Cricetulus griseus: one gene and its partners. The protein of the gene in region 3 purifies or fractionates together with the protein of the main gene of each other region. This does not show direct contact. Links are inferred from orthologs where the notes say so. Each region holds a gene or a part of one and is shown on either strand. Other genes may lie near its edges. The genes, in order: Ddx6, Atxn2 and Mcrip2.

Evidence for each region.
Region 1: the proteins of Mcrip2 (region 3) and Ddx6 purify together in Homo sapiens (co-immunoprecipitation; 5 studies listed by BioGRID and IntAct, with this or other methods). This does not show direct contact. The link is inferred for Cricetulus griseus from reciprocal best matches to the Homo sapiens genes MCRIP2 and DDX6.
Region 2: the proteins of Mcrip2 (region 3) and Atxn2 purify together in Homo sapiens (co-immunoprecipitation; 3 studies listed by BioGRID and IntAct, with this or other methods). This does not show direct contact. The link is inferred for Cricetulus griseus from reciprocal best matches to the Homo sapiens genes MCRIP2 and ATXN2.

What each region holds. Positions count from the first base shown.
Region 1 is NC_048597.1:156,294,150-156,304,862, forward strand, and holds part of Ddx6 (probable ATP-dependent RNA helicase DDX6), read left to right. Parts: intron 1-1,353; 5' UTR 1,354-1,623; coding exon 1,624-1,823; intron 1,824-4,589; coding exon 4,590-4,653; intron 4,654-5,830; coding exon 5,831-5,935; intron 5,936-10,713.
Region 2 is NC_048597.1:101,625,946-101,636,658, forward strand, and holds part of Atxn2 (ataxin-2), read left to right. Parts: intron 1-2; coding exon 3-94; intron 95-874; coding exon 875-1,072; intron 1,073-2,189; coding exon 2,190-2,368; intron 2,369-4,163; coding exon 4,164-4,373; intron 4,374-6,820; coding exon 6,821-7,003; intron 7,004-8,465; coding exon 8,466-8,663; intron 8,664-9,173; coding exon 9,174-9,281; intron 9,282-9,619; coding exon 9,620-9,690; intron 9,691-10,713. UniProt on the Homo sapiens protein: Involved in EGFR trafficking, acting as negative regulator of endocytic EGFR internalization at the plasma membrane.
Region 3 is NC_048600.1:45,484,674-45,494,546, forward strand, and holds Mcrip2 (MAPK regulated corepressor interacting protein 2), read right to left. Parts: upstream 8,339-9,873; 5' UTR 8,233-8,338; coding exon of another isoform or gene 8,181-8,232; intron 8,098-8,180; coding exon of another isoform or gene 8,052-8,097; coding exon 7,968-8,051; intron 5,254-7,967; coding exon 5,153-5,253; intron 4,236-5,152; coding exon 4,108-4,235; intron 3,868-4,107; coding exon 3,766-3,867; intron 3,521-3,765; coding exon 3,450-3,520; 3' UTR 3,179-3,449; downstream 1-3,178.

The DNA of each region.
Region 1 (10,713 bases), on a different chromosome or scaffold from region 3:
AGTATTCAGAGATTGCCCCTCTCATCCTCTTAGTGCTTTGCAAACAGGTAAGCCTTCCTGTTGGATGTACCTGATACTGTTGATCATAACAGGAACCTGTAAATACAGAAAGTAGCTGTTACCAGAATAAACAACTGCATTTGATAAGCAGCATTTGTGAGCAAGTTGATGCATAAAGTTTTTTTTATTCGTTTTAGCAAACGGTGTTTGCTAACAAAACTTGAAATATCTTTTGACTTTAAAATTTTGGATTTCGGATACATTGGTATATGGAAAAAATAACTAACACTGATTAAGTTAGTGTTTGGGGAGAGGGTGGAATGTAAGGGGGTTAAAAGATAAAACCAAAGGAGTTGGACTTGTGCTCTGGTCTTTGGCTTTTTTTTTTTTTGGTTTTTCTGTGGCTTTTGGAGGCTGTCCTGGAACTAGCTCTTGTAGAACAGACTGGTATGGAACTCACAGAGATCAGCCTGCCTCTGCCTCCAGAGTGTTGGGATTAAAGACTTGCGCCACCAACGCCCGGCGGCAATTCTTTAGTACTAAATTTTGAGAATTCCATTTGGGGAACAGTTTAAAATGGAGGAGGTTGACCAACTCCTTGAAATAACTGTTACTTAGACTTGGTACTCGGTGATTTGGGAGACTTTTATTAAAACCACAATTTTGTTTAGCCCCCTGTCCCCCCCCCCCTTAGCAACAGGAAATTTCTTTTTTCCTTTTTTGAACCGAGTTTTTGTTTTTCTTTTGGTTGCTGTTTTTTTTTTTTTTTTTTTTTTTTTTTTTTTTTTTGAGACAGAGTTTCTCTGTGTGGCTTTGGAACCTGTTATGGAACTAGCTCTGTAGGACCAGGCTGGCCTTGAACTCACAGAAATCCACCTACCTTTGCCTCCTGAATTTTGGGATTAAAAATCCTGTGCCACCACTGCCTGGCAAACAGTGTTATTTTAAATTAGGATATACTTTATGAAAAATGTTATTGAAAGGCAACATTTAACAGTTTTTAGTATTGAGGTGTTTTTGCTTTGTTTTGTTGGTAGAGGGGGGGTTTTCGAGTTTTTTAAGGACAAGATTTTTTGCTTCATACAGGTCTTTTAATGGCTTCATATATTTTGATAAGAACAGAAACGCAATTGCATTACTGTCAGAAAAAGTGTGTGAAGTTGGACTCCTTGTAAATTGGGTTTTAAGGCAGTTTCGCGATTGACATGTCCTTCCTGTCTCTAGTAGTGATTTGGCCTGAATGTGGCTGATCATGGCACTTTAGACGGACATTCCGGAGGAGTTTTTTTAAAAGGGAACAACTTTCCACCCTGACATTGCTGTTTGCTAATTTAATTTTTTTCTTTGTTTCAGATTGAAGTGAGTGAATTCAGATATAATTAAAGCTTGTTAGAGGGCTTTAAAAAAAAAAGTTGATTTGGTGCATGAGAGCAAGTTAACTACTGCTGCTTACCGTTCAGAGACTTACAGGTGCTTGCCTGAATTGCAATAAAGGACTCACATACTGAGCAAGACTTATTTATCTCTTCATTTTGGAGAGCCTCATAAACTGTTATTACAGTTTCTCTACTGACTTTCAAAAGTTTTGAAGTTTGAAAGAGACACCTTTGCAGTTAACAAAGCATGAGCACGGCCAGAACAGAGAACCCTGTTATAATGGGTCTGTCCAGTCAGAATGGTCAGCTGAGGGGCCCTGTGAAGCCCAGTGGTGGCCCTGGAGGAGGGGGCACACAGACACAGCAACAGATGAACCAGTTGAAAAACACCAACACAATCAATAATGGCACTCAACAGCAAGCACAGAGCATGACGGCCACTATTAAGTAAGTTCTAGAAGAAAAATGTGGAGACCCACAGTTCTGTTTACTTTTGTTGTTGACCACTTTATGCCTTAAATTAACCATTTTGATTGCAGATGGAGGGCAGATGACTTTTGTTATAATCAGTAGGTATTTGTAATAGAATAATGAATGTATTTCTGCTGTAATTAACTCAAAGTGGTGAATATAGGCATTTATAAATTACTATGTTTAGAAATAAATGTGCTGTTTGTATAAAGGTGAATAAAATGGTCCCCATTCTGTTGGTTTTTGAGAAAGGCTTACTTTGTAGCCCACTGTGGTGATCTTCCTGTTTCAGTCTCCCAAGTATTAGGGTTACAGGTATGAGCCACTACACCCAACTTTTTTTTTTTTTTTTTTTGCTTCTAATGTCACCACTGCAACTTGCCCTAGTTTATACAACAGTTAAGGCTATTTGAAAGTTTGAGAAAGAAAATTTATTTAAAATAACAAAATTTTATGTGCATGGGCTTTTGCCTGCATATATGTCTGTATGCCACATGCATGCCTGGTGTCTGTGAAGGCCAGAAGAGTGGGTTGAATTTGCTGAAATTGGAGTTGCATATGGTGGTGAGCCTCCTGGTGGGTGCTGGGAATTGAACCTAGGCTAGTGCTCTTAATCAGCCCCCCGACAAAGCAAATTTAATGATTCATACTTTTTATTTTTTAAAGACAGGCTTACCAGGTCATGGTGACGCACGCCTTTAATCCCAGCACTCAGAGGCAGAAGCGGGTAGATCTCTGTGAGTTCAAGGCCAGCCTGGTCTACAGAGCGAGTTCCAGGACAGCCAAGGCTACACAGAGAAACCCTCTGTCTTGCAGGGGTGGAGGAAGAGAGGAAAGAAAGGAAGGAACTGTCACTCTAAAGATTGATTTATAAGGAATTAGCACTTAAAACTTTACCTCAGTGGAAATTGGGCTTCTGTTAAAAATACAAAAGAAGTCTTCCCTGGCTGCTAAAATGTATAGATTATTGGTAGTCAATTCACTGTTGATCTCTAAGAATACCCGATGTTTTGTTTTGATACAGGTCCACACTATGTAACCCTTTAGCTTGGAACTCTGTATATAGACTGTTCTCAAACTCAGGGATCTACCTGCCTGTGCCTCCCAATTGCTGGGATTAGCACAGTGGAATTGGTTTTAACTAGTATAAAAAACATTTTACAAATTATAGTTTATTTTAACACAAACAGGCAGGCAAAATTTAGGCTCCTTTCAGTTCCTAAGGGCAGATATATACTTCATTATGAAAGTATTACTCAAAATTTTTGATTTGAGATAACAGTTTTTCTTCTGGGATTTTCTGTGTCTTAGTGTGTCATTTCTTTGAAGTGTTCTGGATTTTGTCAGCTGTTTCAGAACTGACTCTTCAGTACTTATCTCTATCACCAATTTTCTCACTTTTAAGATATATTTGTAATTTGTGGGCCAGTTTTTGCATTATATCTTATATGTATTGTTGAATTTGACTGTGTGGCAAGCTATTATACTGGGTTGTTACCTGGTGTTTTTGCTTAGAAAGTTCAGTGATTAAAAAAAAAATTCAGTGGTTTCTGCAGAAGCAGAGGATCATGAGTTCAAGGGCAGCCTGGTCTATATAGCAAGCTTTCATTTAAATTTTAAAAAGAAAAAAAGACTCTGCTCTTTATGCAGGCTCTAGCTTTAGATAAATGAAGCTTGGGGTGAAAGGACTGGGATGTCCAGGAACAGATAATGCTAAGTACTAAGTTCTTACTTTGTTAGTACTGACTGTTTACGTAAATTACTGTTAGCTTTTTTTTTTTTTTTTTTTTGGAGGCAGCCCAGACTGTCCTTCAAGTAGCTATGTAACAGGGGTAACCTTGAACTCCTAAACGTACTACTTCCACCTCCAAAGTGCTGGAATCACCTGGTGAATGTCATCGTGCCATCATTATATATGTTATTGATTTAGACACCCAGTTTGTATATGATAGTATAGAGGGTTGGGGAAGTAATTGGTGCGGCATCATGGAAGGAATAAGGAATAGAATCGAGACTTAACCCCTGTTAGAAACGTCAGGACTTGTGTGGTTTTGTATGGTGTGTTGAGTCACGGTCTTTCTGTTGTTCAGACTAGCCTGCAACTACCAGGCTCAGGTGGTCTTTCTGCCTCATTCTCCTGGGTAGCAGGGACTGCAGACACTCTTGGTTTTAACAAGAATCAGCTAGTTACCAGAAGTACAGGCTTGGATGACTATAGGGTACTGTGCTGATTTAGAAAGTACTTACTGTTTAAAAGCATCACCTGTTGATATTAAGTTCTGGTTACTAAGTAGCCCACTGGTAACTCCTTGGCTTTTCCAAGGACCTGGGTTCAATTCTTATCATTAAAAAAGAAAAAATAAAAAGTTGCAGTTACTGTTACGGTACAAGAACTTGAAACATTATTGCCAAAGTGTCTCTGAACTGTTGTGGATTTGGCATTTTTTCAAGAAAATCTAGAAACTGAGCCTTTACATGAAATCTAGATGTTAAATGTTTGTAGCTAATTAAAAAGACTAGTAGATCAGATAAGATGTGTTTGACAAACACTTGTACTAAGTTCATCCTCCTTAGATGATTTCTCAAAGAACATGTTTCCTGAAGTTAACACTTTTGTTAATTAAGTGCAGGGAATGTTAAACTTAAGTGCTTTTTAGAGAGGTAGTACTATTTGAAAGGTTTCATTTGTATTAACAGGGAAGCTATGAATTGTGACAACTATGTTTACTATATTCTCTCTAGACCTGGTGATGACTGGAAAAAGACTTTAAAACTCCCTCCAAAGGATCTAAGAATCAAAACTTCGGTAAGTTGGGTTGTAGAATTCAAAAATGGAAGGAAGGGGCAATTACAAGTAAAGTAATTGAATGAAATGACACCATGTGTTTAGTCCTTTTGTTATTTTTTGTTCTATTTTGAGAATAATGTCCTATATAGTCCAGGCTTACTATCAGTGTTCTCCTTCCTTAGTCTTATTAGTGCTGGGAGTATAGTTAGGTATGTCCCATCAGGCTAGCAACTAGATTTTATTTTTGAGCATCTTTAGTTTTTCAGATAGGGTTTCATTCACTATTTAGTAGAGGCAACATATATATTTAATCTTAAAGCAATTTGAAATGATTGAAACTGTATGGTTAATAGGTATTAGATTGCTTTAAAAATTCATATATATATATACATATATATATGTATATATATATATATTAAGAAATATGCTGGCTTGTGGGTGCCCATGCATGTGTGTTTGCATGCATATCTTTTTGTTTGTTTGTTTGGTTTTTGTTTTGTTGAGACAAGACTTCTGTGATTGCAGGCTGGCCTCAAACTTAGATCCACCTGCCTCTGCCTCCAGAGCTCTGGCATTAAAGGTGGACGCTACCCTACCACCCCACCCCCAGCTGCTATCTTTACCTAATTTTCTCAGTTTTTTTCCCCCTCAGCCTCTCAGTGCTATATTCAGGTTAGGTATTGTATCCACTATGTATGAATGTGTTCAGAGAAGTTCTTTATCCCAATATTCTCAACCAAGGGTGATTTTTGTGACACTTCTTGTAACAATAGCTAGAAGTATTTTTTGTTGCCAACTTGGGATCCTTATAAATAGCCTCAAAACACCAATGTCAGCCTGGCCACAAATGTCAAAGCTCTATGCTTGAGAAACCCAAAGACATAGCCAAAGATATTGGTAGCTAGTGAGTAGGGGAACTGGGGTTTTATTTCATATCTGTAGTTAATTGTATGTTATTTATGTAGAAATATTCTGCCTTAGACTGATCATAGGTGCTTTCCCCAAAGCTCCATCTTTAAGTGATGTATATTTGTTGAGTTACTCTCCAGGGAAAGTTGAAATAGAAATTAAAACAGTAGTAATATGCATTTTTAAGCTGAAGTGGATAAAGGGTTCAGGTCTGTTACTTTTTTTTAAAGCATGCTAACTATGAAAGAACCAGGGTTCCATTTTATTTTATTGTTTGTTTCATTAGGATGTGACTTCCACAAAAGGAAATGAATTTGAAGATTACTGTTTGAAACGGGAGTTGCTAATGGGAATTTTTGAAATGGGCTGGGAAAAGCCGTCTCCTATTCAGGTATGTTTACCCTTTTGGCTACATGAAGGTTATGTATCATGCATTATACACTTCAGCAAACATTAAAATACTCATTTTATAACTGGGCAGTGAACTCAGAAGGCAGAGGCAGGCAGATAGATCTCTCTGAGTTCCAGTTCTTGGTCTAGAGTGACAGGACTACAGAGACCCTGTCTTGACAAGAAAAAAAATTACATGGATGGGTGTTTTGTCTGCATATTTGTCTAGTACCTCTAGAAGCAAGAAGGGAGGGCCTCAGACCCCCTAGAACTAGAGTTAACGATGGTTGTGAGTGAAGCTACCTGAGATAACCTGTGAAGATGGTTCGATACTCTCTCGACCCAGAAAACCCTACAAAATCATGCAAGTCAAGAGGTTCAAATCTCCGGGTTCACTTTAAGAATACCTGTGAAACTGCCCAGGCCATCAAGGGTATGCATATCCGAAAAGCCACCAAATACCTGAAAGATATCACATTGAAGAAGCAATGTGTGCCATCCCAGCAATACAATGGTGGAATCAGCAGGCGCCCAGGCCTGGGGCTGGACACAGGGTCGGTGGCCGAAAAAGAGTGCTGAATTTTTGCTGCACATGCTTAAAAATGCAGAGAGTAATGCTGAGCTTAAGGGTCTAGACTTAGATTCTCTGGTCATTGAACACATCAGGTGAACAAAGCACCTAAGATGCGTCGACGAATTTACAGAGCTCACGGCGGATTAGCCCATTCATGAGCTCCCCCTGCCACATCGAATGATCCTCACGGAAAAGGAACAGATTGTTCCAAAGCCAGAAGAGGAGGTTGCACAGAAGAGAAAGATATCCCAGAAGAAATTGAAGAAACAAAACTTACGGCACGGGAATAAATTCAGCATAAAATAAATGCAGATAAAAGTTAAAAAAAAAAAAAAAAAAGATGGTTGTGAGCCACCATGCTGGGAATTGAAATGCGTTCCCTGGAAGCATAACCGGTATTCCTAACTGTTGAGATATGTCTTTAGTCCCTACTTGATTTTTTTGACGTGTGGGAATAGTGTAATGTGTGTTTGTATACAGTATTTTTCTGTACTTTTAGTGTTTTTTTTTTTTTTATACAGGGCAGCTTCTAGTCCATAGTAGCCTCAAATTAAAAGTTAGCTGAAGCTGGCCTTTGAGCTCTTGTTACCTCAGCCTCTCAAGTCTAGGATTACAGGCAAGCATCACCATTCAGTTTTGTTTTGTTTTTTTCCTTTTTGGTTTTTCGAGACAGGGTTTCTCTGTGGGTTTGGAGACTGTCCTAGCTCTTGTAGACCAAGCTGGTCTCGAACTCACAGAGATCCTCCTGCCTCTGCCTCCCGAGTGCTTGGATTAAAGGCATGCGCCACCAATGCCCGGCTCATTCTCAGTTTTTTCTTGAACTTTATATATCTTTTTTTATGTGCATTGCTGTTTTGCCTGCATGTGTGTCTTTGAGGGATTGGATCCTAGAGTCACAAGCAGCTATGACCTGTCATGTGGGTTGCTGGGAATTGAACCCAATTCCTCTGGAAAAGTAGTCAGGACTCTTAACAGCCATCTCTCCAGTCCCTTTCTTGAACCTTTTGGGGTTGTTTGTTTGTTTGTTTGAGACAGGGTTTCTCTGTGGCTTTGGAGGCTGTCCTGGAACTAGCTTTTGTAGACCAGGCTGGTCTGGAACTCACAGAGATCCACCTGCCTCTGCCTCCCGAGTGCTGGGGACTAAAAGCATTCACTGCCGCCGCCGCCTCCTGGCCATCTTGAACTTTTACAGGTTAAATTATAGAATCACTTCATTAACTTGTGAGTCTCTTGGTGTATATTTCCTAAGAATAGGGATTGTGTGTGTTGTGAGCTTTTTTGTTGTTGTTGCTTGGTGGTTTCAATGTTTATTTTTATATTTTATGTTTTTTGTTTTGTTTTGTTTTTGGATTTTCAAGACAGGGTTTCTCTGGCTTTGGAGGCTGACCTGGAACTAGCTCTTGTAGACCAGTCTGGTCTCGAACTCACAGAGATCCACCTGCCTCTTCCTCCTGAGTGCTGGGATTAAAGGCGTGTGCCACCAACGCCCAGTGTGTTTTTGTTTTTTGGTTGTTGTTTTTTTCCCCTTCTCTCTGTGTAATAGCCTTGCCTGTCCTGGAACTCTATCTCTCTGTAAACCAGGCTGGGATTAAAGGCATGGACCACCAAGCCCAGCTGATTTATTTAATCTTATTTTATGTGTACAGGTGTTTCGCCTGCATATATGTCTGTGTATCCCGTGCAGTGCGTTGGGGGAGGGGGGTAGACAAGGAAAAGTGTTGGATCCCCTGGAACTGGAGTTAAAAGTGGTTGTGAATGGCTATGTGGATTCTGGGGATAAAACCTGAGCTCTCTGGAAGAGCAGCAAGTGTTTATTTTAATAACACCTGAGCCTTCTGTTCATTGCCTTTGTTTTAATGGTGTGTGTGTGTGTGTGTGTGTGTGTGTGTGTGTGTGTGTGTGTGTGTGTACACTCACCCGTGTTTGTTCATGGTCATGTTTATATTTGTGTGTAGGTTAGAGAACAACCTACTTCTCTTTTTCTACTAAGTAGGTTCTGGGGATCAGATTCAGGTTGTTGTACTTAGCATCAAATACCTTTATCTACCAAACCATCTTACTGGCTCTGTTGTTTTTTAAGATAGGGTCTCATGTATCCTAGGCTGGCCTCAAGCCCTGTGTAGCCAAGGGTGACCTTAAACTTCTAATCCTTCTGTACAAGAGTGTTAGGGTTATAGACTTGTAAATTTTTGCTCAGTTTATATACTGCTGGGGATCAAAGGCAGGGTTTTGTGCATGCTGGGGGAGCATTCTACTAATTGAGATACATCTCCAGTCTCTTACATTTATTTGTCTAAAATAAATGGAAGGCTGGCTCATTGTTTAAATAAATGGAAGGCTCAAGTCATGCTTGTTCAGCAAAAATACTGCAAAACTCATGTAACAGGTTTCTCAGGATATCAGATTTGAAGGTGTGTATAGTCTTGATTAGTGATGTCATGAATTTGGATTGTCTTGTCCAAGTGTTGTCTGATTTTTTAGCTCTATAATGGATGATGATAACTACTTTTTGCTCCCTCCCTTAAAACCAGTTAATATTCTAGAAAATATTTAAAGACCAAACAAATCCATTCTCTCTATCAAACTTTCCTGGTTATTGTAGTTTTTTAATTATCATCCTGAATCTTGATCTCATTGGTCTGGGTTGTAGTGAGTTTCTTGTAAGTTTCAGCTCAATTGATCCTTCCATATTTGGCCCCTATAAAGAACTTCCCCTTATGTGTGCCTTTAAAAGAGTATTTGGGGTTTGTGATGTTAAGACTTGAACTCAGGACCTTGGTCATGCCGCCAAACACTCTACCACTAAGATGTACCCCAGCCTTTCTCCTTCCTGCTTCATGTATATTTGTGTGAACTCAAGATTTTTTTTTTTAAATCATATTTTTGTGTGCTCAGGTGTCACAAATTTGACTCCTTTTAGGGTGGTTCATATATGTATTTTGTGATAAACTTCATTTTTATTGAGCAGTTCCTTTTGGTGTAACGTGTTAACTAGAATTATGTATCTTATGCTTATTATTATGCTCTGACCTTGGAATCTATGGAGTACTGATTCTTACTTGGTTTTTCAAGACAGGATTTCTTTGTAGCCCTGGCTGTCCTGGAACTCTCTTAAGACCAGGGTGGCCTTGAACTCAGATCCTCTTGCTTTTGTGTAGGCCATCACAGCTGGCTGAGAACAGATAGTTTTAATAATACATGATGGGTACCTTTTTAGTTGGAATTAGTTGCATTTTATATATCCAGGAAGATAGGACAGCCTAGAAGTAATCTTCTAAGACAGTGGTTTTTAACCTGTAGGCCATGACCCCTTTTTTGTGAGGGGAAGGGGGGGGGTCGAACAGCCTTTTCACAGGGTTGCCTAAAATCATTGGAAAACACAGAGGTTTGCATTATGATTCATAACAGCAAAATTACAGTTATGAAGTAGCAACAAAATAATGTTACAGTTGGGAACTGCCATAACCTGAGAAACTGTATTACAGGGTGGCAGCATTAGGAGAACAGTGGTTGAGAACCAGTTGTAAGTGATCACCCAAAGGTGAGAACGTGGGTGTTACTTGTTTGTGTTTTGACACAGGGTCTCCCTTGTGTATTCCTGGCTGTCCTGGAACTCACTGTGTACACTAGGCTGGCCTTGCCTCTGCTCCTGGGCGCTGGTGTAGACCACCACACCTGGCTTGGGGTTTTGGATTTGTGTGAGAGAGAGACAGAGAGATGACAGAGATTGATTTTATTTATTCATAGACAAAAAGAGGCCTTGTTTACTTCTGGCTGACTTTGAACTCCCTATGCAGCTGAGAATGACCTCAAACTTTATACCCAATATATGCAGTACTAAGGATCAAACCTAGCACTATGCAAAGCATAAAATGGTGATTCTTAGAATCATTCAGAGCCGGTCGTTGGTGGTGCATGCCTTTAACCCCAGCACCGGGGAAGCAGAGGCAGGTGTATCTATGTGAGTTCGAGGCCAACTTGGTCTACAGAGCATGTGCCAGTGTGAGGATAAGCTCCAAAGCTACACAGAGAAACCCTGTGGGGGACCGAATATCTCTGTTATGGAATATTTTAGATCCCAGTCTCTTGCTGCTGTCAACAGTGGTGGCGCCAGGGAGCTCTGGGTCATTGTATTGTTAATTGCCATTCGACTACTACTGTTTATCATAGCCTCAGGGTAATATGCCTCTTATTTGTATCTGTCT
Region 2 (10,713 bases), on a different chromosome or scaffold from region 3:
AGTCTAATGGATGGGATCCCAACGATATGTTTCGATATAATGAAGAGAATTACGGTGTAGTGTCCACATATGATAGCAGTTTATCTTCGTATACGTAAGTTCACAAAGTTCTCTTTTAGCTAATTTTTGTCTACATCAGCTTAAATTATGTTGTTGAATTAATGTCTGTTTCATTTTAAATTACACATCGAAACAACAAGAAGAAAACTGACACTGGTGGCATACACCTTTAACCCAGCACTCTTGAGTTTGAGGCCAGCCTGGTCTACAGAGTGAGTTCCAGGTTGGTCAGGGTTACACAGAGAAACCCTGTCCCAAAAAACCTAAATAAATAGATAATAAATAAACAAACCAAAAGATGTGACATTTATTTTTGTTAACTATTTAGGCTGACAAACTCATATTAAAACAGGGAATAGATACAGTTTTTTTTCCCCCATACCTTGTTTTCTGGACAAAATACATTTTGTCTTTTTTTTTTTTTTTTTTTTTTTTTTTTTTTTTTTTTTTTTGAGACAAATTTCTCTGTGGCTTTGGAGGCTGTCCTGGAACTTGCTCTTGTAGACCAGGCTGGTCTCGAACTCACAGAGATCCGCCTGCCTCAAGAGTGCTGGGATTAAAGGTGTGCGCCACCACCGCCTGGCCCTTGTCTTTGTTTTTAAATTGTAAAAAGGTTAAATTTATAGGGATAGGGTTTGCATGAACCATTTCTTGAAATAGTAAATGTTCTATGTAACAAAAAATGCATATTTTAATTTATTATAACAAGTCTCTGATGACCCCATGCACTAAACTTTCTTAATAGTTGTGTGTGACGCATAACATGAGTGTGACATTGAAGCAATCACTTCTGTCTTCTTCTCTTTGTGTTTAGCGTTCCCTTAGAAAGAGATAACTCAGAAGAATTTCTAAAACGGGAGGCAAGGGCAAACCAGTTAGCAGAGGAAATTGAATCCAGTGCTCAGTACAAAGCTCGTGTGGCCCTTGAGAATGACGACAGGAGCGAGGAAGAAAAATACACAGCGGTCCAGAGAAACTGCAGTGATCGTGAGGGCCATGGCACGAGCTCTAGGTATATAAAGGGAACCACAGTGCAGTGTGTTGGACACATTGAAGGGTTGTATGAGAAAATGTCCTGCATCTGTTTCCTCTTAAATGAAGCTTAGGTAGACAATGCTGATGGGTTTGGTTAAGATTCTATTAGAGAAAAGATTGTGGTCATCTTGATAGGATCTTTTGGAATTCAGCTGGAGTCTAGTGTTGAAGACACTAATACCCAGCCCAGACCCCAAGGAGCTCCTTAAAACAAGATTCAGAGGGACTCAGTGACCTGGTGACATTGTACTCTTTTTCAGGGTGAAAGTGTGTTCAGAGTACTGGGGATGTCTAGAGTGAGAATGCCCTAGAATTGCATGTGTAGTTCAAGAGCCTTACCAGGTGGTAACGTTTGTAACAGGATAATGGGACCTGTTTGCCACTGGCAGTGAGGGAAATTTTTTTCATCTCTGTAGACACATAACCCTGTCAGAGTCTGGCCTCTTCAGGCGAAGGCTAAGACCCAGGGTCAGTATTTGTATGTCATTGTGGCAGATGGCAGAAGCACTTGTGTGCCATATTTGAAGAGTGGCTTGTAGGGAACAGTGAGGAACAAACATGCTCTGAGTCAGAGAGTTTTCTCTGTGTAACACTGTGCAGCTGAGAGAAAGCAGTTAGCTGCTAGACAGACTCGCTGTGGGAAGGCTGGAAACAAGGAAGGCTTGAGCCTTACTTGGAAATTCAGCTTTTACTGATGCTTCTTCTGAGAGCATGTGAGCTAAAAACAGTGTGAAGTGAACTTGTGGGGAGAAATGATTGATGACTCAGGGTTGAGTGCATTTGCTGGGCTTGTAGGACTCTCATTTATTCATAAACATGTTGTTGAACATCTGCTACATTGTGGGTAAAGCACAAGCTGCATCCTGTCTTCAGGGTTTCACAGCTGACTTTTGTGATTTATCTAATCATCATGGAGTGTCAGGGAGGATGAGAGTGAGCACAGCTTGTTAAACTGCTGGTGGGAAGAGTTACAATGCCATGAGACAGTGTGGTGGCAACTGAGCCTTATGTGAGAAAAACTCTTCTACCTGGTGTTCTGTTAGCCCTGTACTTTTTAGCTAGCATAAATAATTTAGAGGTTCTCTTATTTCTAGGGAAAGTAAATATATTCCTCCTGGACAAAGAAACAGAGAGGTCATATCCTGGGGAAGTGGGAGACAGAGCTCACCACGGATGGGCCAGCCTGGACCAGGCTCCATGCCATCAAGAGCTGCTTCTCACACCTCAGACTTCAACCCGAACTCTGGTTCAGACCAAAGAGTAGTTAATGGAGGCAAGTATTTTGACCAGATTATATCTAAATATTTAAGAGTTAACATACTGGATAGGAATGTGCATGCCATTTTTTTTTAATCTTGTAGAGTAGTTTTTAATATAACTGAGTCTTGTTTTGTGGCTATCAGATAGTATGACATCATATGTGTCCTTGGCACATTTAGAGGGACACCATGGTCCTGAGCTGTTGCATATCTCTCCTACTCATTTGGCCTAAAAACACCTCACACACAAATTGGAAACTCTTGAAGAGATTCTCAGTTTTTAAAAAAATGTGGTTATTTAGGCATAGTTCATGTGGAAGGCACCTCAGTAAATGCAGATTCGTTTTTATTAACTGATAGATTTCCATTCTGTTCATGTCAGGGAAGATCTTAGGGTTATTTATGAGCAAGAGTCATGTGAATAAAATCATGCTAAAAATACAGCACAGAACCTTTGGTTTCTGAGGGCAGGTGTTAGAATGTGGCTGCTTGGATCTCTAGTAGGAAGGCACTTCTGTAGTGTCTTCTGTCAGGTGAATACAGATTATAGATGTTAATAGAAATCTGGTAGACTGAACAGCAGAAATGAATTATATGGCAATATTGTAATTGACAGCAATAGTGTGTTGTTACTGAGGGAAAAGAATCGACAGCCAATTTCAGGTGTTGAAGGTTAGAACAGTGCAAGCTAGATGAGGAGGTTCACACCTGAGGCGGGGGGATTCCCAATCTAGGCTACATTGGGAATTTGAGACCAGTCTGGGTATTAGGAAACCTTATCTTGAAGGAAGGGAGGAGAGGAATTTCAGATGTAAAAACAGGGAACACTAACATTCTAGTTTCATTTGTTTTTGCTGAGTCTTCTCCAGAATTCCTCTCTAAGTAAACATTTGAGTATTTTCTCTACCTAGTAATGGTGGTGGAAATTTCTTTGTTCACCAAGTAAAGATTTTCATTTGTTTGTGAACAGAATTTTCAAGTTAAAAACTTGAAGGGGGCTGAAAAATATGTGATACTCTAGCATGTGGAGCCCCTTGGAAAGGAACCCTGGACTATTGGCTGAGCATCAGGGAAACGGTCATAATGCCTGGCGTGTTGTCAGGGCCTGTGCCCTGCAGTTTGCAGGTCTTCACATTGGTACAGCGGGGTGTAAATAAGTGGGGCACTTTCTAGTGGGTTGAAATGAGATTTGTTTTACAAAGCACCCAGTGCTGTTACTCCAGCATTCTACAAAACAATAGAAATAAGTTCTTATTTCTACCTAAATGGGACTTGGTTAGTGAGCTTTGAAACTGATGGTTAGGTTCAAATGCAGACCTGATGAACATCTCAGGTGAATGTAAGGAAACAGTTTTTATAATGGCTTCAGAAGCTGCTATTTCTTTTTTATTGTTCAGAGCTAAAACCAGTGAAGGAGATGCCCTTCCTGAGCAGAAGTGACTGGTTTACTGAGGGAAGTTATCTATGTGTGTGACTTTATCTTTACAAGTGATGGCTGAAAGCAGCTGAAGAAGTAGGGCTACTAGGCAGAGTCTTAACTGTCTTCTTCAGTAGTATGTGTAGATCCTAATTAACCCTTTGGGAACGTGGATTCATTTAAACAGACTTAATTTTAAGGAGGTTAAAGTAAAATGTGAATCTGTGTCAGTTAAGTTATGCTAAAACTTATCACAAATCAAATGACTGTCCTCAAAGGGTTAAAATGTACAAGAAATCATTTTTGTCATTTTACTTTTTTTTTCTGTTTACTTTTTCCCTCATTTTTTTCTTTAGTTTTTATACTTTCCTTCATATCATTTGTTCTGTCAGGTGTTCCCTGGCCATCGCCTTGCCCATCTCCTTCCTCTCGCCCACCTTCTCGCTACCAGTCAGGTCCCAACTCTCTTCCACCTCGGGCAGCCACCCCTACACGGCCGCCCTCCAGGCCCCCCTCGAGGCCATCCAGACCCCCGTCTCACCCCTCTGCTCATGGTTCTCCAGCTCCTGTCTCTACTGTGCCTAAACGCATGTCTTCAGAAGGTACAATACCACGATTTGTTCATGTTTTTTGTTTGTCTTTGTTTAACTCCTTTGTGAGTTTATGGTTACGAAGTAGTTTCCTCTTCATTATTTAATAACCTATAATTTCTGTGTTTTAACTTGAGTTTATTAAAACTATTTCTATTAACCTTTTGTTCACTAGAGTGAAACTTGTTAAGTGCTGTGTATAAAGCTCTGCACTGTCCTGGATGTAAAGATGAGATCTGACCTGTCTATAATGGCGCTGCTTTCAGCCCAGTAACAGTGATGACCCCACCAGGGCTGTGACCCACTTAACCGCTTCAGTGCTTGGGTGGATACAGCCCTGCCATGGTGCCAGTGAACCTTCCTGTTGGCCAAAGGCAGAGTACTATTTTGGGGTCTTTTGTATTCCATGATATTCCTTATAGTGGCTTTGTATGTCTACCCTCAGGTAAAAATAGTTTTTAGAGTACCTGAGGAACTGTAAATTTAATTGGATAATTACTTTTAAATTAGTTTTGCACGATGGTTATAGTGATAGGCTACTTTAATGGGGAGGCTTTATCTAAAATTTATCAATTAAAAAACATGTATAAATTTTTTTGTCTTTTTGCTCTTGTCAAAATTGTTTGTTTTTGGTGCTAAATTCACTATTGTTGCATGTCATACACTTTGAATGGTGGTACATGCCTGGGACATAGGCAAGAGGATTGCCAAAAGTGAGATCAGTTTGGCTTTTCATGAATTCTAAGCCAGCCAGGATGATATGGTGAGACCCTGTCCCAGTCACCCCAATATCCTGTTCCAAAAAGGTAGCATTCTGATTTAATGCAATTTATAAGTTAAAAAAAATGTTTTGTTTTAAATGACAGTGTCCTTTGAATTCAAAATATTTCTGTTAATGTTCTAATCAGATTGTCTTGGTAAAGTCATGATAAATATAACTGATCAAGACTGATAAAATTTCCTGAAGAAGCTGCTTGGGAGTAAACTATATTGGCTACTTTTAAATTTTCACCCAGGCAGAAGGGATTTTCATAGCTGAATATTGAAATGTTGCAAAGGCAAATTTCACTGACATTTAATGCTTGCCTCTTGTAGTGGTCCCTAGCAACAACATGGATCTCTGTTGTAGACCATTGGGGTAAATGTGTTTATTCTATGAGAATACCTTAGATAAAGAGCTGTGAGCATAAGTGAACTGTGAGCATCGAATTGCAGTCAGATAAGAGGGCTGCTCCTGGACTGTCCACAAAAAATGCTCTACATTGTTCTGGGGTGTTGGTACCTCTAGGTGAAAGCCCTAACAGTAGGCTGGCTCTGGCTAAAAGTCCTTGCCACGAAAGCCTGATGACCTGAGTTTGGTATCTGGAACTGACTCCACAAAGTTGACTTCTCACACATGCTATGGCATATACAAGCACACACCCCCCATACCATAAACATAAAATATTTAATAAATTAAAAAAATAAAGTCCTGACATTAAGAACCATTTTCTCAGAGATCATGTCTGACTATGTTCCCACTGAGAACACAAGGAGAGAGCATGTGTTAGGAGCTATACCTTAGACTCTGAGAAAGGTAGTTCTGGGCTTGTGTTTTTAGTCAGTGGCTTAGTACTACATAGCTGATGGCTGTAGACACAACCATCCCTAATGGCTGGCACAATCAGTGATGTAGTGTTAACAGTGCAAATTTCTGCCAGATGTCCTTCTGGTCTTACGTGGCAGCATTTATATGTGAGGACTGCCATAAGCCATGATTTGTAACTTGATGATTGTGGCCAAAGAGAATTGAGGTTTCTGTTTAAAAAATACTCCTCCCCACCCCCCAGGCCCTAAAGGATATAGCTCAAAGATAGAATGTTGGCCTAGCAAGTATGGGGTCCCTAGCACTGCAAAAAACATTTTTTTTTTTTGTCTCATTTTGGAAGTAGTAAAATTGGGTAGAAAGGTAAAGTAAGAATGACTTATAGTGTAGCTGTAATTCCTATTAAAACATTATTATAACTTATTCTGTAGTTTATACAGTGTTATGGTGTGTTGTTTGATTTATCGCCAATCAATCAACTCTTATATTTCCCATGCCTCAAAAATAAAGGGAAATAAGGCTAGGAAGGTCGGTCAGCTGTATGAAAGCTTCTGCTTTTCCAGAGGACCTGAGTTCAGTTCCCAGCACACCCTCACACAAACACATAGACAATATAGTCAAAAGTAAAAATAAACCTTAAAAGGGGGAAATAAAATATACTTAGATAATTGACATCCCACAAGATAATTCTTAATGTGGCCAAAATCAGAATAGTGTGGTTTTTTAATTTTTTTCTTCAACCAATGAAAAGCTATTAGGGAAGTAAGAGTATATATCTGTATTTAGTAAAAAAAAAAAAAAAAAAAAAAAAAAAAAAAAAAAAAGCAAGGTGAACACTGCAGGACTTAAACAACGTCCCTTGTGTCTTCCTTAGGCCCTCCAAGGATGTCTCCAAAGGCACAGCGGCACCCTCGGAATCACAGAGTCTCTGCTGGGAGAGGCTCCATGTCTAGTGGCCTAGAATTTGTATCCCACAACCCCCCAAGTGAAGCAGCTGCTCCTCCAGTGGCAAGGACCAGCCCTGCAGGGGGAACGTGGTCCTCAGTGGTTAGTGGGGGTAGGTATGACACCGTGACAGTGCTGATTTTGTCATTATAGTACAAACATAATAGGGCTCAGCTGAAGATCTGAGGAAGAACTTTCGTTAAATATGGTGGCCTAAGTAGGAGTTGCCAGTTATAAAATATCTCAGATACTCTTGACAGTAGTTGAAGGTACTGTCCCATTATTCTGGCAACTCTGTCCCTGCATTCAGTTTGTAAACATGTTTAGACTTACCGAAATGTTTTTCCATGGCATCTATGTGTGGAATGAATAAACAGATACTCATCTTGTGATCTTCCAAGTCTACATGAGTAGCCTGAGAAGAAGCTGTCAGTAGCTGTAAAGATCAAGGGTCCTACTTTGAGCAGATTGAATTAGGCCCAGACTGCTGCACTGTTGTATCGGTCAGTCTGCAGTGTTTCCTCCCAGGACTGCAGAACTAGAACCTGTTCCCGCTTTGCTGTTCATCATTACTTTTTTTTTTTTTTTTGAGACAGGGTTTCTTTGTGTAGCTTTGGAGGCTATCCTGGAACTAGTTTGTAGACCAGGTTGGCTTTGAACTCAGAGATCCGATGCCTGCCTCTGTCTCCTAAGTGCTGGGATTAAAGGCATACACCACCAACGCCTGGCCATTACTTTTCTTAATTAGCCAGTAGACCTTTGCTAGAAAGAGGTCTTTAAGCTTAAACAAAAGCCCAGTACTGTTAAATGTCTTTTTTTTTTTCCTATACCCTTGAATAGTGCAATCGTAGTAGCTGCCCTGTAAATTCCTTTGCTGTTTCCCTTGACCTTAGCTGAAGATTAGAAAGAAAGTAGAAGGTGAGAGAAGAATCTTGAAGTGTTGTACTCCTTTGACATTAGTTGGAAGTAAAAGAAGAGTGACAGTTGCTAGAGATAACACTGAGAATCATGTTACAGGCAAGTTAGAGTAGTGAACGCTTTCCTTCTATGATGCTTGTGACTTCACAAAGAAAAATCACTAAAGTGATGGAAATTGAACCATTTTCATTATGCCCTTGAGTCTGAACTGTGCAAATAGGTTTTTATTGGACAATGAAACATTAAACTTTTTTTTGAAGCATTCATTCATTCATTCATTCATTCATTCATTCATTCATTCTGTGTTAAGAGACAGCTTTAGGCTAATTATGTCCTAATTTACTTCAGCATTGGAACTGGATCTTCATGTTGCAAGAAAAAGTACATAGGCTGAGCAGCAAGCTACCAAAGGGGTTTTACTTACTGTGTTGAAGGAAATAGACAGGTGTAGTCTCTCTCACACCTTAAAAAGTAACTTAGTATTATTGATGTCTTTTTTTTTTTTTATTCCCCTTAGTAATTTATCTTGGCATTAAACTTTGCTGTTGAGCTTTAATCAGAATACTTCAAAGTTAACACATTTAATTAGGAGTGAAAACATATTGGTAATTTCTGTCATATTTCTGAGAACTTAATGAGCATCTTTTTGCTTCTAGTTCCAAGGTTATCTCCAAAAACTCATAGACCCAGGTCTCCCAGGCAGAACAGTATTGGAAACAGTCCCAGTGGGCCTGTGCTTGCTTCTCCACAAGCTGGCATCATCCCTACTGAAGCAGTTTCCATGCCTGTCCCAGCTGCATCTCCTACTCCTGCCAGCCCTGCATCCAACAGAGCTCTGACCCCATCTATTGAGGGTATGAAATGAAGATCTTTCCTATTGTAACACTGTAAGACCAAGAGCTATATTCAGAATATACAGTGGTGTTTTTATGGAAGCAAGTTAGCTGTGTATAATATTTCTCTTCCATGTATATTATTTAATGTGGTATCAGACAGAGGTTCTGACCTGCTCTGGTGTGACACGCAGGGAAGAAACTCTATTTAGTGGATCTTTTTTCTCCTCAAACTAGAATATTAGAAGTGTTTGATTTTTTTTTTGTTTGTTTGTTTTTATTTTAAAGATTTATTTATTTATTATGATTTATTATGTGCACAGTGTTCTGTCTGCATGTTGCCTGCAGGCCAGAGGAGGGCACCAGATCTCATTACAGATGGTTGTGAGCCACCATGTGGGTGCTGGGAATTGAACTCAGGACCTTTGGAAGAACAAGCAGTGCTCTTAACCACTGAGCCATCTCTTCATCCCCCATGTTTGGTGTTTTCTCATGTTGTTTTCCTAACTTTGTCTGATATTTTCCTTCTAGCTAAAGATTCCAGGCTTCAAGATCAGAGGCAGAACTCTCCTGCAGGGAATAAGGAAAATATTAAAGCAAGTGAAACATCACCTAGCTTTTCAAAAGCTGACAACAAAGGTTAGAGTTTGTTAAAGTTTTTAGACATAATTAAGAAGTAGAACAGTGTTTAACTAATTTCATGCTCCATACTGAGTGCCCTCCTTCTGAAATCTATTTATGTGCAATGCATGTGATAATAAATACCACGCAGAATGGATATTTGAAGTTGTTAGTCTTCGGGTGATAGGTCTGTTCTCATTTCTTATTTATCTCCCTTCCCCCACTTAATAGTAAAGCCATTAAAGGAGTGTGCCACCACTCCTGGCCTCTGTTCTCATTTCTTATATCTCATACTAACAGAGTTTTAAGTTTAAGGTCAGAAGTAATTTGGAATCTAACAGGTTTTGGTTTTACAGGTATGTCACCAGTTGTTTCTGAACATAGAAAACAGATTGATGATTTAAAGAAGTTTAAGAATGATTTTAGGGTAAGTTCTCTATTAACTGATTGGTTAGAATTTCAAAAAGAAAATGGTGATTTTTTTTTTAAATATAACCAGTTCACAAAAATACATTTTAAACACAGACAGACAGACAGACAGACAGACAGACAGACACACACACACACACACACACACACACACACACACACACACACACACACACACACACACACACGGCATTAAGTCACATGTGTGGAAAGTCAAACTTTTTTTTAAGTTTTTTATGTATATGAGTCTGTGGGCCATGGGCATGCCTAGTGTCCTTGGAGACCAGAAGAGGCAATGGATTGCCTGGAAATGGAGGTACAGGTGGTCATGAGTCACCATGTAGGTGTTAGGAACTGAACCCAGGTCCTCTGGAAAAAATGCCAGTGCTCTTGTTAATATATTTTTTCCAGCCCACTGGATTTATTTTGAGAGAGAGAGAGAGAGAGAGAGAGAGAGAGAGAGAGAGAGAGAGAGAGAGAGAGAGAGAGAGAGAGAGAGACTGTCTGTTTGTCTGTCCGTCTGTAAGTGGGTATATGCATGTAAGTTCAGGGGCCCTCTAAGGCCAGAAGAGATTGTCCTCACTTGGAACTGGGGTAAAGGTGATGGTGAAATGCCTGATGTTAGAAATTGAATTTGTATCTTTTGAAACAGCAGTAAGCACTGTAAACTACTGAGCCACCTCTCTAGCCCCTTGATAATTATTTTTTGTCTTAATTTTGCTTTTATTTTTCCCAAAAAAGAGTTTCTCTGTGTAACAGCTCTAGCTGTCCTGGAATTAGCTCTGCCTCTGCCTCTGCCTCTGCCTCCTGGGTGCTGGGACTAAAGGTTTGCACTACCACCACCCAGTTCAATTATTCTTAAAGATGTCTTTGTCTCTTCTAAGTGCAATAATTTAAAATCACAAGTTTTTTTGTGTTTGTTTGTTTTAAGGCTGCAGGTCATAAATGAGAAGATGCTATCTTCCATTGCAAACCAGCACAGTAGAGCTCACTGCTGTGGTGTCTGTCTGAATGACTGGCT
Region 3 (9,873 bases):
GGTTGCGCCTAAATATTTTAAACCCTTATTTTAAAGCATTAGCCCACATGGTACAGAAATGCCATATAGATTCTAAGAAGTATTTTAGGAGAGAACCAAGTATGATACATGTCTCCTACACTAAGCAACAGTTTAATTGGTTGTTTCAGAACAATGAGTCATGGGCGATTGGCGATTGTCTTTGCTCAGTTTTCAGGAGGAATCAATAATCAGTTTCTAGCTCATGGACTGTTACAATTTGCACCAATACATCCTTTTGTATTTCCAAAATTGCAAAAAAACAGTCCTATAAAAATATGCTATGTTAATTTTTACCAATGGTTCTATTGGGAGAGTCACTTACATAGATTATTAATTAAAAGGAATGGATAGAGCAGACAGCTCTGGCTTCAGCTCAAATAATCAAACTACAAGCTGTTGCAATGGTCTTTCAGATCCTGGTAAATAATTCATTTAATTTGTATACTGACAGTCACTATGTCTTTAAGGATCTTGAGGTAATAGAGACAATTCCATACATAGGATCCAATATTAGATTGATTTGAGCAAATTCAAAATGTTATTCACCTAAGAGAATTATCATGTTTATGGGTCACACTGGGAACCTATTAAATAGGCCTTTCCCTGATTACTAGCCAAAGGGAATGAATTAACTAATTAACAAAATTGGTTGATTTGCCTTAAATATAAAAAGCTCGACAGGCTTGTAACTTTCTTCATCATAATAGCAAGTCTAAGAAAGAAATTTGGCTTAACCAGAGAGACTGCTGGTCAAATCATCAAACAATGTGGAATATGTCCACAATATGGCTATGGCTAATTTAAGGGTGAATCTTCAAGGCCTGTTCCCCAACCATTTATGGCGAATGGATGTGAATCACATTACAGAGTTTGGCAAGTTAAAAATGTGCCACTCCACAAACAGGAGAAGCCACCAGGCATGTTATAAGTCACTGTTTAAGATGTTTTGCTTACATGGGAGTGCCAAAAGTTATAAAAACAGATAATGGGTCTGGATATACTAGCAAAGCTTTCCAGCAATTTTGTGATTAATGGAAAATTGATCAAAAAACATGTATTCCTTATATCCCCAAGAACAAGGAATAAGAGAGCGGGCCCATAGTGCCCTAAAGCACAGCTTCTAAGACAAAAAGGGGGGAGCTGTGCCCCCAGTCTCCACATGATGCGTTAAATCACACACTGTTTATCTTAAACTTTTTAAATATGGATGCCAATGAGCAATCTGATGCAGACAGATTCTGGCATGAAGGAACTCGAGCAAATTTTGCTCAGGTCAAATGGAGAGAAAAATAGAGGGGACCAGACCCCGTAATTATTTGGGGGTCGAGGGCATGTCTGTGTTTTCTTGCAGGAGGAGAACGAGGTGCACTGGCTACCAGAAAGATTGGTGAGATGCATGGAACTGAGAAAAATGGGACCTGGGCCCACAGGGGACCATCTGAAACAGCTGGAGTGAAACACTGGACCTGTGTTCCTGAACCTTGAGGACATCTGACCTACAGCGGAGGAAGAAAGGAGACACACCCAGTTCCAGTTTCGAGATGCTTTCCAGAGTTCCAGCCTCCCTACAGACGGGCTACATTCACCTCTCCGAATCCGTGAGTGCTCATCCAGGAGCAGACTAAGAACTTGATAAAAAAACAGCTTGCTTTCTTGCCACAAACAGACACACAAAACTGTTTTGCCAGTTTTCTCATTGGGAAAAAGGACCCATTTAGGACAGTCGGATACTGGCATAAACCAAAGTGGCAGAAGCTCCTTCACAATGCTTAAACAAGAAATGGACAAAAGACTTTTTAGTTAACTTTCAAAGACTGTTTTTACAAACCTGATGTTAGAACTTCGGACTTTGAGCAAAAAATAGATAAGTTTCTAGGGGCATTGAGTCCCAGGTAGGGAATAAAAGAGGGTTTACAATTGTGAAATTGTTCACACCTCACAGATTGTGAGAATATCTTATTGTCTTTTGATTGCTTTGTAACTCACCCTAATGTATGTTCATGATGGAATTGTTAATGTTTGTAATCTTGCTATATGTGTTATGTAATTGTTATTAGAAACTAGAAGTCAGAGCTCATTCTTACAGGAATGTAACGTACAGTTTACAAGCCTTAGGATAGAAATATGTTTTAGGGAGCAAACTTTAATAAGGTCCGTATCAGAGGCACTAGAGGCATTGCCACAGATTTTAAAAAGGCCATTTTAACTTTTACATGTCTTCATCCGCAGAAGATTTGCTGCCAAGCTGAGATGCTTTTCTCCTGTAGGTTTCTTGCTGATTCAGAACACTTGGAGCAGGACTATGGCCCATCCTCCACTAACCTTATTTGTTTTACAGAGACTGGTTTCAGCCAAAGACGGTAGGGTTTTCCTTGCCTTCAGGGAATCCTAAGACAGAACACGCATGATGGAATGCGTGATTCCATGACGGGCACCCCTGGTGTAGGTTGAAGGGAGCTCCTAAAACAGGCACAGTCATCTGTCCTGATGCAGAAGCACAGGTTTCTTTTTATTAATTTAAGAGAGAGGAATTGTGGGGGACCAAAGTCTTTCCGCTACGGATTTTATTTTGAGATCCGGCTTTGGTTTCACTAAACATGGAGCACCAGAAAGTTCCGGCACACTATTGTATTGTTAATGCCAGTAAAGCTAATACTGTTTACCATGGCCTCAGGGTAATATGCCTCCTAATTTGCATCTTTATGCGCCTAAGCATCTGAGTAGGCCCTCACCTGGACAGAGGAGCCAGAGGTGTGTGAATAACTTGTGAGGACAGAAAGTTAGGAAGGAGGAGAGGCAAGCAGCCAGAGCAGAGAGAGAACAAAGAGGAAAATGGTTTTCCTCGTGGTATTGGCAGGATGGTTAAGAAACAGCAGAAAAGATGGCTAATAAAGAGAGCTCTCTGAAGATGACAAGATGCCTGTGTTTGATCTTTATCGCCTTTGGGTTGCTAGGAGCTTCCAGGTCCACACCCCCCCACTCAGGTAGAACCTCATGGCTGTCATGGGTTAAAGCTGAGACAAGCCGGGTCAAGACAAATTCTGAGTATTGCAAAGGGCTGGGGGAGTCTAGAGTCTGAGACTGAGAAACAGAGGTGGATAGGTGGACCCAACACCCCCCCCCCCCCCCCCCGTTTCCCCAGGCACTGACACTCTAAGGCAGTTTTTCAACTTTATTAGCCTGGGCTCCTCCCTGCCAGCCCCAGGGGCTGGTCCCTGGGCACAGTGAGCAGGATTGAGGTTAGACAGGTTTGGCCTCTGGCTCTGGCAGCTTGGGATAGCCAAGCCAAGGGAACAACAGGTGCAAAAGTCCAAATGTTGGCACTTCAGGTGTGGCCGGTACCCAGCCAGGCCACAAGGTGGACCGGCGCACCATGGTCCTCTTCGGACAAAGGGTCCACTATGGCAGCATTCCTTCCTGGTCAGGTGTTAGGAACAGTTGGTGATTCTAGCCAGGAACTGTTGTGCCCACCACTCATCCAGGTCAATAGGTACAAAGTCTGTGGGTAGAATAGATGATGGGCAGTGATGCTGTTTTCCAAACTGGACAGCACCTCTGCCCTCCAGCTGACCACAGTCCTAACCTGGACTCCTAGTATAGTACTCAATGGAAAAGGCGGGGGGGGGGGGGGGGACACACGACACGGACGGACAGTCTGGCCCAAAACTTCCCTCCCTAATCCCCTAGGGCTAGAACCTTGTGGAGAGGACTCTTTAGGGATGTAGGGCATGAGGAAAGACTCACTCTGCAGCCGGGGATCAGGAGTGTTCTCCACATACTGCACAGGCCGTGGGGCACTCTCATCGGCAGGGCCGCCATCCAGTTGTCGCTCTACCTGCTGCCAGGCTGTGAGGGAAGGACAGTTAGAATGAACCAGGCCCCTGATATCCCTCCCACCCCAGAATCTGGTGGTCACCTTGGACTCCAGCCCAGTTCAAGGAATGGACATGACCAGGCAGAAAGCCAAAGAACAGTCTAGCCCTTGGGCTGCTAAGAGTCAGGCTATAGTGCGGAAGGACAGGGCAGAGCCAGGTCCACACTACTGGGATTCTGCGGCCAGGGTCACACCCCCTGGTCCCTTACTACCTTCGGACACAAATCGGACGTTCTCCTCGTGGGCCAGTGTGTAGGTCTCTTGGGTTCCCTCGAGGGATGTGGGTGTGGTGAGGGGCCGCCTGCCATTCACTCGATTGAACACAAGCCTTGGCCCTGAACTGTGAGAGGGTAGGAGAGAGATACAGTTGGCACAGCCAGGTCCAGGAGCTATTCTGAAGAGTTCAAGAGCAGCCTCAGTATTTACTCAGTGCACCTGCACAGGCACAGACCCAAACTAGATCCTTCCTTAGTCACAGAGCAGTGCCCTCAGCTGCTGTGGGACAAGGCCTCTCTGCTGCAGACCCTGAGCTTTCTGCAGTTCAGCTCACACCTGTAGCCCCTGGGGCCAGGGAAGGTTGAGTGACTGCAAGTCAGAAAGAGTCCCAGCTCTCTAACCAGACCTTTGGCAGGGAACCGGAATACTCCACCTCTGCATTCCTAACTCCCCACCTACAGAGTGCTCCTGTGCACTCTTAACTCCTCACCCAGAATGCTCCTCTGCACTCCTAACTCCTCACCCACAGAGTGCTCCTCTGCACTCCCATCCAGGCAGGCTTCCAGGAGCCCGGTTTTAACCTCTGCCTGATCAGAACTCTAGTCCATCCCCACCCACCGGGCACAGATACCCCTTCCATCTAGAGATGCCCCACAGACCCAGTCACCTCAATGACACCCCCACTGTTGGAAAACAAACCAAATAAGGATGGATCAGGATTTGCCCTTCCCTCTCCCTGGCTGCCCCCAGGGAGATGAGCACAGAATGCTGGGGAGGACCCACTCCTCAAGGCAAGAAAAAAGGGGCAACTTGAATGAGATGCCCTCCCATGGCTCTGTGCTGCATTCAATATTCAGGGGTGAGGGGTGGCTGAACCCCTCCCAGCTAAGCAGGCCCAGGTCAGGGCAGGAATGTGCCATTCCAGTTTACTGGCTGGTGGCAACTGGCCAAGCCCTGTGCTCATGAAGCCTGGGGTGGAGCCATGGAGGGAATAGGGCCGCACCTACAGTAGGAGGTGGGAGCCAGAGTCCTGGGCTGCACCTGCCACTCCGCCAGGCACTCGCGGTCCCGGTAGGCCTGCTCGCCTTCCTGGGCTCAGGTGGCCCACGCCGCTCTGGGTTCCTCCTCAGGTGAGAGGGGCACTAAAATAAAGAGGAGGGTCTTGAGGGGCACAGGGTCCTGCCAGTCCCAGGGCTGGCAGGGTCTGGTGGCTACAGAAAATCTTAAATGTGCAGGTGGGAACCACAAGGAGGCAGGACTCCTCCCAGACCCATTGGGTACCTGAGGTTTTGGTGAACCAGAGGGCATGAAGGCATTCTTTTTTTTTTTTTTTTTTTGGTTTTTCGAGACAGGGTTTCTCTGTGGCTTTGGAGGCTGTCCTGTCTAGCTCTTGTAGACCAGGCTGGTCTCGAACTCACAGAGATCTGCCTGCCTCTGCCTCCTCAGTGCTGGGATTAAAGGCGTGGGCCACCAACACCCAGCTTACACTTTTTTTTTTTTTTTTTTTTTTTGGCATGAAGGCATTCTTAATGGAAATCCCCCTTTGCTTACAACCACCTCTATACCTCAAAAGGTTTCAAATGATGAAAGCTTGAGGGCTGGACAGTGATTCTTTTTGCATGAATGTTTTTGTTTTGTTGAAGCAAGGTGTAGACACGCAGAAATTGTCCTAAGTACCAGGATGCAGGTGGGTGTGTACTACCACGCCTACCTGGGGCTTACTCTGATTCTTAAAAGAAGGAAATCCCAGCCAGGGGCTGTGACTAGATCAAGGTGGTGGCCCTGACCCAGAGGGCAAGGGCTACAAACCCAAAGCTAAGCCCGGCCCCACCCCTGCTTGGAGGCAATGGTTATGTAAGACAAGGCTCTGTAGGGGAAAGGGCACAAGTCCCAGAGTGCACCTGTACCCACTCCTGGGAACAGTGACTGCAGTGCCAGGCCATAGTGCCCCACAGACCTCCTCTCATGTACTCCCTCAAGGTGACTGGTCACCCATTTTTCATACTGGGAAGAGAAACTTCTTGCCTGTGTCATGCAACAAAGGTGGTCAATCTAAGATTTAGCAGTATTTTGACTCCAATGCTCACAACTTTGACTCTGGCCCACTTCTCTTCTGCCTAGTGGTCCCTGAACATTCATTCATTGCTCCATCTACTTCTGGGGGGCAGGTAATCAGTCATATGATCTCATCTCGAGTCTCTCCCATCTGTCTCTTGCCAGGACAAAGGATGTCACATCTGACCATCATCTCGGGCAGCGCCTATACCCAACTATTTAGTGAGTTGAAAGATTTGAGATTTTGCCACATGCCAGCAGGAGGATAACCAGCGCCTCCCATGTTCCCTTCTCCTAGAGCTTGTCAGAGAGATGGTAGCTGAGGAAAGCTCCAGGGAAAACAAGAACGGGAAGGTAGTAAACACAGATTTTGAAGGGTGGCCTTGAGAAGATAAAAGATTAGATGTAGATGTATTTGTGGAATCCCTATAGGAGCTGGAAGTTACCAGTATGGGGTCAAGGAAGGAGCAACTCCCCAGAAACCTCGAGGAAGTAGGGGGGACACCTTGCCCTGTCTCCTCAGCTCCCAGAGCCTAGAAGTACTTGAAATCACTGTCCCTCACGCTTCAGGTGCTTTAACTGGCCACTGATGGGTGACTCGAGGCCTCCACATCAGTCTAACTTCCTATTTAGAGTAAATAGCCAGTGTGGTGTCCCTTGCAACTTATGGAGTTCTGGAGACTGTCCTCCTCATGGATATCACCCTCAATATTGCCACAAACCTGTCCTTGCTGTCCCCCAACAATGAGGACTTAAAAGGCTATTCCAGCTCCAGACTCCCTGTCTGGTTGACCACTTTGTGGTTACACACCTGCACCATAGAGTCCTCCCAGAGACATAAGGGCAACGGGGACATAAACTGATATCATCAGGAAGCCCCCTAGGAACTGCTCATCCAGAATGTAGCAGAGTTGCCAACATGCCTCTGTAGCAGGAAGCCCTCAATTCTGCCAGAATGTCAAACACAGTCCCACACAGGTGTCTCCTACCTATGGCATCTGAAGCCCAGTAGCTGAGAGATGGGGTAGACTTCACCACACCGACTCTCCAGCTGAGGCTAGTCTAACTCTTGGCCTCCTTACAGATTAGCCTCAACTTGTGCCCCAACTGAGAGCCTAGGGCCCTTAGCTGGTCACATGCCACCTATACCAGCATCTTGAGCCCAAAAGCCTACATGCCTGCAGCGATCAGGAGCAAAGTCTATTGTCACAGGAAACAGTAAATTGAGCCAAAGAAGTATAAGGTTCAGCCTTGAAGGGGTGGGACCATTTCCAGGTCACAGTAGCTGAAATCCAAAGTAGTCTGGCCTGAGCTTCCCTGGGGCCTTGGACACACTGCTAGTTCTGAAAGTGAGGAAACTGTTGGGTCTGACAGGCCCTGACACTGGCTGGGGAGGAGGGCTCCAGTGCCCCAGGGTGTCAGTGAAGGGCAGGGACCTGATAAGGCCAGCGGGGAACACGTGCGCTTTTTCTGCAAGGACAGGGCCTGAAGACCTTGAGGGCCAGCGCCTTGGGCAACTTTCCCCAACTTTGACCTCGACCGCTTCTCAATGGGTTCAAGTTAGCGGCCCACGGTCGCCAGGTCCCTCGGTCTTGGGTACCTGAGGTCCTTGACAGGCAGGTGCGGTCGGAAGCCCGCAAGGCCCCACGTGGCCACCAGGGTCCACGCACGCCAGCTGGGCCCAGTAGTAGCCAGCGAGCCGAAGCGCGCGAGCCGCCTGCGCCCCGCCCCCTGCCCGCCAGGACGCGTGGTCCTCATCACCTTCTCCAAGGTCACTCTCGTGCCGGGCGGCCCCGCTCACCTTGCCAGTGGCCAGGGTCCCTGAGACTGTGCCGAGGGCTGCTCGCGCGCGGGAAGCGCGGTCGGCGGCGCGGGCTGCCGGCATTTCAGGAGCTCGCCGAGTCTGCTCTCTACCTGCTGCTGTGTGGGACCTGCGGGCCGGGCGGAGGGCGCGTCAGCCGCCGCGGGCCAGCGGTCAGGACGTCCCGCCTGCCTGCCCGCCCGCCCTGCGCACCTGTGCGGCGCTGCGCGACCAGCTTGCTGGGCCCCTTGGTGATGGTGTACATGGTGCGCCGTACCGCCTGCCCCTGGCAGCGGTTAGATCAGGCACCCTCCACCAGCTTCACTCTGCGGTCCCTGGGGCACGGCCCCTTTAAGGACGGAGGACAGACTGGGAGGGGCGGAGCGACCCACACACGCCCCCTGCCCTTAAAGGAACCGCGCCCACTTGGTAGCCTTTCCAATCCTTTAGAAAATTGGCCAAGATGCTAGATCTGAGCCAGAGGCGGGGTACACTCACCAACGAGTATGCCAGACTGTAATCCATCATCAGATTGGAGCGTGTGTGTGTGTGTGTGTGTGTGTGTGTCTGTCTGTCTGTCTGTCTGTCTGTCTGTCTGTCTGTCTGTCTGCCGGCCTTCTGTCTTTATCTGATCTGTTGTCTGGTATTTCTGGTGAGGGAGGCTCTTTGAGTGGGCGAGGGACTTCTGTGTGCTGGGGTAGTTCTCTGAGCTAGAGATCCTGTGCAAACTCTGAAATCAACAGTATTCCCGTTCATATTTGAGGCCCCTCAGCCAAGTGCTTGGACAAGCCTGGGCTGATGGGGATCACCGTTGTCTTGGATCTGCTTAGAATGAGTGGTCTAAAACAAAAAAGATGTGTTTAAGTAGAATGAAGTTCTCTGACTTTCCCCAGTGAACAAGAATATCAAGGCTGAGCCGGGCGTTGGTGGCACACACCTTTAATCCCAGCACTCGGGAGGCAGAGGCAGGTGGATCTCTGTGAGTTCCAGACCAGCCTGGTCTACAAGAGCTAGTTCCAGGACAGCCTCCAAAGCCCCAGAGAAACCCTGTCATGGAAAAAGAAGAAAAGAAAAAGAAAAGAAAAAGAATACCAAGGTTGCCCTACAGGTATCCTGAAAGCCTAAAACCCAGAAAAAGACCAGAGGATATAAAACTCGGGGTGGTGGTGGGGTAACCCAGCCTTAAGGTACTAACATTCTCCTCACGGTTATGTCCTGAACCTTCCTGGAGGTGGCCCCCTTTCTCAACTACTGCAGAAGCTAAAAACCAGGTCCCATCAGGCCTGTGGGGAGAGCCATAGGGTTTCCCAGTATACCATGATGGAAGGAAAACCCCCAGAATGGGTGGAAGCAGCCTGACCCTCCTCCAGTTGTTCTAATGACCCCTATGAAATGAATGCTGAGGGTTTGAAATGTGTCTCCCAAGACTTGAAGAACACTGTTGCTATATTTGAAAAGGATCAGTTTGCTGCCACCAGGGACTTGGGGAGGCAGGTCTTTCTGTCAAGTCTTGGACCACTCAAGCAAGAAACACAATGGGGAAGGGGTGAGGGTGGGTAGTTGATCCACCTCAATCCCAGGGTACCCCAAACCACCTGTGTGGCTTGCCAGTGGAATTCCAGAGGACTTCTACCCAAGATGGCCAAGCTGCCATGATTCTTCCAGCCCAGGGTACTTTGGCCTTACATTATCCAGAGAACTGGAGAACAAAAGGCCTCCCCTTCTCCAGCCCTGGGAAGACTCAATTGAGTGTGTGACAGGCACAAGGGAGGCATGAGAAATGACGACACAGCTGAGATAGTACACAGACAACAGACCAAAGAAAGAATTCCACCCAAGTCTAGCTGGTGAGCCAGTGACTTTCTTGAGGTCACTTACTGGAGCAGGTAAGAGCACGACCTTCTTG